Danio rerio: one gene and its partner. The protein of the gene in region 2 binds, or shares a complex with, the protein of the main gene of each other region. Links are inferred from orthologs where the notes say so. Each region holds a gene or a part of one and is shown on either strand. Other genes may lie near its edges. The genes, in order: lamtor5 and lamtor1.

Region 1 (3,932 bases), on a different chromosome or scaffold from region 2:
AAGGCAGCCCAAATAAAAAGACAACAAATGGCATTGGCAATAGGTTACAATGGCAAGCAATGGTGCACTGATTCACACTGAGGTCTGTATTTTGTATTTTGTTGTTCATTGTGTAATGGTTAATTGAAAGAGCTCATATACTTGTTAGCAAGTTGTGTTGTTTGAAGGTTAAAATAGCTTTTGTTGCATATTTTAAATGTTTTGACACGGCATGTGCATTTTGCAACCAAAATGTGTTATTTTGACCATGAGTGCCGCTGTTTAGGCCTGTGTTTTAACTGTTTTAAAAATGTGGAGTTTCAGTTGACGGCTGCATGAAAGCAATCCAAGGAAAACTGTAAAATAAATTAAGCAAAATATCTTATTAAAAGACTTAAACTGCACAAAAATCAGTAGTCTAAAAATCCATATATATTTAAATGTATATATATACCCACACGCAAAAATAATAATATTGTAATGAAACTATATTTATAAAAATAAATCGATCATCAATAGACAGAAGTTAAGGAATTAAATTAACCCTATAAAAATGATATTCATCAAATATAAGGCTGCATCCAGTCAGGAAAGATTAAACTGTTCTGATGGGCTCTAGAGAGGCAGAAACAGGCAGCTATTATTCTGCCAGCTTATTTGCATGTATATTGACTTTGCTAACCTGATTCATGCTTTGCACTTTGCACAACTTGTGTAATAGTATATTTTATAATATGCTTCGCATATAGTTAAGCAAACATATAGTTAATGGATGTGACAGAGAAAAAATGTGTCTCATGTCAAACCCGGCTCTTAAACCAACCTCACAAACTATAAAAGAGAGTGCTTCAATATCTTGAGTTAAAAATGGAAAAGACTGTCTGATAAAGAGCTTGAGCTCAGACACAATTGACGGTGGTCTTTTATTGTGCGTCTGGTCAGGGGACAAGGTCATTTAGAGAGATACCAACACCGAAGATTCACACGTTCCTCTGGGAGTTCTCATTGACAATGCCAGCTAAATGTTAACCACATGTAGCCTACTTGCTTTTTAGAGCATTGAATGGTTTGTAAAGAATTTATTATTTGTTCAACATAAAAACGAGGATATAGAAGATCTAGACTCTGAATTATAGGTGATCAGTCAATAGCAGTGCTGCAGGAACATTCATTTATTCCAACAGCTGCATATTAATAAATTCAAGCTTTTCATTTTGGTTCAGAAATAGTCACTCTTCTACTTAGCATTTATTTCTCCTGTGGGACTTGTGGTATAATTGGTATTCTTTTGAGAATGTCTTGTGTGTTCATTTTAGTTTAATTAAAATGTTTAACCCAAAAAATTATATTGTATGACTGACTACTTGTCGAGGTTTAGCAGCAAACAAAAGAGGACCATTTACCTACCATCCTGACTTGAGTAAGATGGCGCTAGATCCTATTTGCTTGTTGTCCCTTAGAGGGCGCCGTAGTGTTAAGTCGCGTGTTAAACTGTCAGCTGACATCCCGGAAGTTATCCAAGTAACAAACATCGCTGCCAGTTTCTGAACATTTCGTGTTTCTTATTAGTTTAATAGCCTTATTTAGGACGCTGTTATGGAGGGTGCACTGGAGCAGCATCTTGACGATACGTATGTTTAAAAAGAAACCACTTTCTTTTCTTACGCATGTAACGTTACTCGTTTTGCGTCTTCATTTACTGATCTCCTTTCTCACTCTAGGATGAAAAATCCAGCTATTGTTGGGGTTTTGTGCACAGACGCTCAAGGACATAATCTAGGGTGTAAGTAATTTTTATATTTTCCTTAATACTTCCCTTAGTATAGTTTTCCTCTGGTGACCATGATTTGCTTGGTTTACATGTACTGGGTTTTCACTTGCAACAAGAGGTTAATATTGCTTTTAATATTTACACATGTGTTGAAGGTATGTAAAACGTTTTGAATTTTTATTAGTTTGATTTGTTTCTCAAAACAGGGAACGGGTGTCTACTGTGGACAACTTTATAACTGTGTTATTGACCAACTTAAAGTTAACTGAAACAATGGTAAACAAAAAAACATGGTTAACTGGGAGAAAATACAAGCCTATTCAAATGTAATTATGCAAAAAAAATGTAAAGTAAAATTAAATGATGTATAGATATAGTTTGAGTAGTAAAATCTATAATGGCATGTGTAGTATTAAAAATATTAATCTGATAAATTAATTCAACTTGAGCATTTTAAGCCTGCTTTTTCAGTGTATTACCATGTGCAAAACAATATACAATTTAAAACTTTTCAACAAAATATAGGGTTATAGAATTGTGCTTTATATAGATTCTCAGTTGACTCTTTTCCATTTGGTTTCCAGAACTTGAAAATATACTGTAATTCTCAATGACATTACAAATATTTTAATCTCCAGGCCGGGGCTCACTATCTGATGAACATGGAGGAGTTGTATCTGTACTGGCCAAGCAGGCTGCTTCTCTAACCAAAGATGCCACCGACTGTCCTACAGTGTGCCTGGAGTCTGACTGTGGGTAAGGAAAGCTTCTTGACCAGCATCTGTCTTATTTCTATGTATCTTGAGAATTTTTTGATTTGAGAGACAACAAAACAATCTGCAGAAATCGATGACATTAATTAAGAAAGTTAAATGAGGGAAAGTCAGTTAAACAACAATCTTTGAAAGTCATTCATCCCATTATACCTTCCCTCTTCCACACACACCAGTTGTCACTAAAGTGTATATATAGTGACGTGTAATAAGTATTGAAACTATCAAATTGGCGTGTGACTTTCTCAGAAAGTATTCCATTCATTTTAATTCATCAAGGATTAATATTTTGTGCTGGTCATTTGGTTGCTTTAGAACTGTCTTGGATCAATATCACTCAAAACCACCAATAGATGGCGGCAAGTCTTAATGAGTGATTCATTGAATCATTGATATTTGTAGTATGGATATAATTATAGAGAGGCATATGATTTCTTATGAGTTTTTGGGGGTTTATTATTTTAAAAAAAGCACTATTATCAAGTAAATGTTTTTAAGTAATGGTTAATTTTTTGCCACTATCATTATGGATATTCAATCAAAAGTAATGAAAGCAATGGAACCATTTCAATATAATGCATGGCATATGTATTACTAATTAATAGATGTAATTCATCTTTTTTTAAAGTTAATGCGGATGGGTTTAAACAAAGTAAATCAATTGATTTTAACATTATAATTCCTGTACACAGTAGTTAATAAAGATTGAACATTTAACTAAACGGTTTTAAAAATGTCTGCACAGCCACAAATTTGTTGGCAATATGCTAAAAGAATGTAACTTGCCATTAAACAAGAACAACGAAAAAATAAAAGGCGCTCTTTTTTTTTTTTTTTTTAGCATTAATTTCTCACCCATGACTTGTGGAATTGCTATTCTTTTGAGAATGTCTTGTGTGTTTATGGTTGGCAGATTCTTAAGTTGACTGAACTTGCCACCAGCTGTGATTTTTAGAAACTGATATACCTGGAGTAAGCACCGTCTGACCTGGGATAGGGAAGAGCAGGGCACAAAGTAACACTTTTTGGTTTTGGCCAAATAATGAACAAAGTAATGGGCTTAGACAAACCATTTTTTGTACCAACAACACACAAACTGTCTCCTACAGTTTCTGTGCAGTATTGCCAAAAGTGCCAGGAGCAAAAATGTTACTATTTGCCCCAGCAGTGGGGCACGTTGTAACAAACAGAGGGTAAGTTGTAACGCATGCTTACAAAGGCAGATTCCACACAGTTAATTTAATTTCTGTTTACTTTAAATAGTAGCTATATTTCCTCAGTACTTGGCTCAATTTATTTTGTGTTATACATAGCACAGCATGTTTATTTACTTATTTATCCACTTAATGAACACATTTGGATTTTTTTTTTGCATTATTATAAAATGCGTTTATTTGCATTATTAGCAA
Region 2 (3,932 bases):
GGACATGTCAGATCTGACACATTAGATCCAAATCCAACACAATTTACGACAAATCCCACAGAAACACCAGCTTTAGTTCATTAAAAAAACACACGTTGATGATCAAATATACATAAAAAAAGTAGCGTAACTGGAATAATTTTGACGCAGTTTTGACAAACACTCAGCATTGAGCTGTTCTTGAATCATAAACACACAACTGTATTAAAAATGTGTCGTAAGTAAATGTTGTTGCAGGACTACAGACGCTACATTAAGCTGCATTATTAGTGTTTTGGGTATTTGTCTGTACTGGACAGCATAACACCAACTTTTAGTGCAAACCCTACAATATTTAGACATTTTAATTTAAAACATTTTCACGTTTGGCTTCAGTTTATTATTTAAAACCAACTAAAATCATAACTGCATTAAACTGTATTAAAAGTGTGTCGTAAGTAAATGTTGTTGCAGAACTACAGACGCTACATTAAGCTGCATTATTATTGGTATTTTAAGTTATTTTTCAGCATTGGACAGCATAAAACTAACTTTTAGTGTAAATCCAACAAAATTTGCACATTTTAATTTAAAAACCTTTTCACGATTGGCTTAATTAATTTTTTTTTTTTAGCTCACTAAAATCAGAAATACTCCTCATATTTTCGTACAACTATTATAAAAACTCCCAGGCCTAAAATCCACTAATACAGTGGTTCTCAAACTGTGGTACGTGTACCACTAGCGGTACGCAGGCTTCCTTCTAATGGTACGCAGAGGAATCCTACATGTCACGTACAAGCAACATATATTTCAAAATTTATCAAAAATGGTTTGAATATGAATATGATGACATATAGCCTATTTATGAGGTCCAAGCAACATTTCCAGGTTTTGATAAATAGGACTTTACATTTAAGTACAGCAGTTTTTTTCTATTTAAGGACAGTAACCTACCATTTTTATTAAACCTTTAAAAGCACATTAATTTAAACGTTAACATTAATTTTTTTGTTTGTTTGTTTACATATAAGCAGAGTACAGTCTTAATGTTACTATTTATAATGTTTAAAGTGGCTTATAATAATAAATATCCTTAATAGTAGTAGTTATTTTACCACGTTATTAAACTGTGCAGAGCTGCAGCTGTTTTACTGGGCCTACTACGCTACTGTATTTCAATACCGGTCATTATGGTGGTACTTGGAGGAACAATCTTTTCTGAGGTGGTACTTGATGAAAAAAGTTTGAGAATTACTGCACTAATATATTTAACTATTCCATCATTGTGGAAACCCTAACACTACATTTCCCCAAACATTAGCATTAGCACATGTCAGATCTGACACATTAGATCCAAATCCAACACAAAACTCTCAATTTAAGACTATTTCCACCGAAACACCAGCTTCAGTTCATTACAAACACACGCTTATGATATAATATACATAAATAAAGTAGCGTTAGTGGATTAAGTTTGTTGTAGTTTTGACAAACACTCAGTATTGAGCTGTTCTTGAATCACAAACACACAACTGTATTAAAAGTGTGTCGTAAGTAAATGTTGTTGCAGGACTACAGACACTACATTAAGCTGCATTATTATTGGTATTTTAAGTTATTTTTCAGCATTGGACAGCATAAAACTAACTTTTAGTGTAAATCCAACAAAATTTGCACATTTTAATTTAATAAACCTTTTCACGATTGGCTTAATTTTTTTTCTTTTTCACTCAATAAAATCATAAATACTCCCCATATTTTCGTACAACTGTTATAAAAACTCCCAGGCCTAAAATGCACTAATATATTTAACTTTTCCATCATTGTGGAAACCCTAACACTACATTTCCCCAAACATTAGCATTAGCACATGTCAGATCTGACACATTAGACCCACATCCAACACAAAACTCCCAATTTAAGACTAACTCCACCGAAACACCAGCTTCAGTTCATTACAAACACACGTTAATGATCAAATATACATAAATAAAGTAGCGTTAGTGGATTAAGTTTGTTGTAGTTTTGACAAGCACTCAGTATTGAGCTGTTCTTGAATCACAAACACACAACTGTATTGAAAGTGTGTCGTTAGTAAATGTTGTTGCAGGACTACAGACGCTACATTAAGCTGCATTATTAGTGTTTTGAGTTACCGGATCCGTCGTCTCGCTGTCGCTGCTGAAACAGCACCCCATGATGGCCGCCCAGCGGGTTCAGTATCCTGAATTTGGGTTTTTTATTCGTCTCAGGAGCGTTTTTGAGGTTGTGTTTGCCTCTTGGCTGTGAAGAGATTTGCTGCAAACGCAGAAACCATCACATGACAGCACTCCCAATCGTGTCACGTGTCTTCCGTCTCCACACTGGCACGTCAGTTCCGCCCCAAAAACCCGTTAAAAACCTTCATAGATATATACATTAGATGTCGCCTGGCCTATTGTTGTCTATTGGACGGAATGCGTCAATAGCGCCGCCATCTTGCTACAGGGTAGCGCTCCTTTGAAATGAATGCAGGACCAAGGTACAGTGGAGGACTGTGGCCATCCAAAGCCAGAGATATACACATATATCTATGATCGGGAGTTTTCCTGGATGTTGTATGTAATTTTTTTTTTCTAATTACGAAAATTATAATTTTACATCACATTCCTGACAAAAAGCTTGTGTTTGTGTGTACAGAAATGTACTATCCACCCTCCCTGTTAAATTTGATCTAATCATGTCCTGAAACACAGCTCCTCTCCTGCTTTCACTTCTCATACTGACGGAGCGGGAGCGAGTTGGAGCTGCTTTGCCTTATGGTGAATGCAGTAAGTCACTGTTTTCATCAATAACGTTACCTGATTAGCACAAAAGTTCAGAACATACAAAAACAGAAAAAACTTTTTATTACCTATGGAATGTTCTGCCTTTGTGCTTTGTTTTCTGTTTTGCTCGCTAAAGTCCCGCATCTTCACGTAATAACACTGACTTGACTAGTGCGGTTGAATGACATTTGTACTGGGAGCACTGTACCAATGTGGCGGCGCTATTGACGCATGCTCAGGGTCCCTATGCGATATCTAGTGTGTGTATGTATGTATATATGGAATGTATATATGTATGTATATATATGTATGTATATATATGTATATATATGTATATATATATATGTATGAAAAACCTTTAGGAAACCTTTATGAAAAACCTTTAAGAAACATCATGCTTTTTTTTTTTTTTTTTTTTTGCAATAATAACAGTACTTTACAACAAATACAGATACAAAACTGAAAGTATGGTACAATCAATAGAAATATTACTTTTTGAAAAAGTGGAATGTAACAAATTTAGAACAAATATAATATAGGTAAATCAAAATAAAGACAACGAGAGAGAGAGAGAGAGAGAGAGAGAGAGAGAGAGAGAGAGAGAGAGAGAGAGAAATAATAATAATAATTAAGGGCACATGACAAAGATTAAACAAATTATTGCAGGATATTAAATAAAGCACATATTTTATAAGTTTTAATAGCTTTCTTATTGTGAGAGTCTGTGATGGGTTTTTTTTTAAATAAAGAGCTAGTTCTCGTTTAAAAAAAAAAAAAAAAATAGGCTTACAATGAGTATATTTGCATTTGTGTATAAAAAACTTTCCAATAAATAAAATGTGGTTTATGCAAAAAGTTGAATTAAGGAATTCTTTTCCTTTAATATAAAACCACAAAATAATATGTCTATAGCTTAAAGAAAAATCTCCACAAACCTTTTGGATAATTAGAGAGTTTACATTAGACCAAAAAGATTTAACAGAGGGACACTCCCGAAACAAGTGAGCAACAGATTCAGAAGAGGTTTCACAGAAAGAGCAAGAGATGCCAATGTCATTTTTACATTTTTGTAAAAATTGTTTAACGGGATAAAACCTGTAAATAATTTTAAAAGATATTTCTTTAATTTTATTTGTTAAAAAA

The links.
Region 1: lamtor1 (region 2) and lamtor5 share a complex: the UniProt entries of both Homo sapiens proteins name them as parts of the ragulator complex. The link is inferred for Danio rerio from reciprocal best matches to the Homo sapiens genes LAMTOR1 and LAMTOR5.

Annotation. Positions count from the first base shown.
Region 1 is NC_133183.1:26,634,922-26,638,853, forward strand, and holds the start of lamtor5 (ragulator complex protein LAMTOR5), read left to right. Parts: upstream 1-1,449; 5' UTR 1,450-1,575; coding exon 1,576-1,610; intron 1,611-1,700; coding exon 1,701-1,762; intron 1,763-2,388; coding exon 2,389-2,506; intron 2,507-3,932. UniProt on the Homo sapiens protein: As part of the Ragulator complex it is involved in amino acid sensing and activation of mTORC1, a signaling complex promoting cell growth in response to growth factors, energy levels, and amino acids.
Region 2 is NC_133190.1:46,803,173-46,807,104, forward strand, and holds the start of lamtor1 (ragulator complex protein LAMTOR1), read right to left. Parts: upstream 2,364-3,932; 5' UTR 2,181-2,363; coding exon 2,139-2,180; intron 1-2,138. UniProt on the Homo sapiens protein: Key component of the Ragulator complex, a multiprotein complex involved in amino acid sensing and activation of mTORC1, a signaling complex promoting cell growth in response to growth factors, energy levels, and amino acids.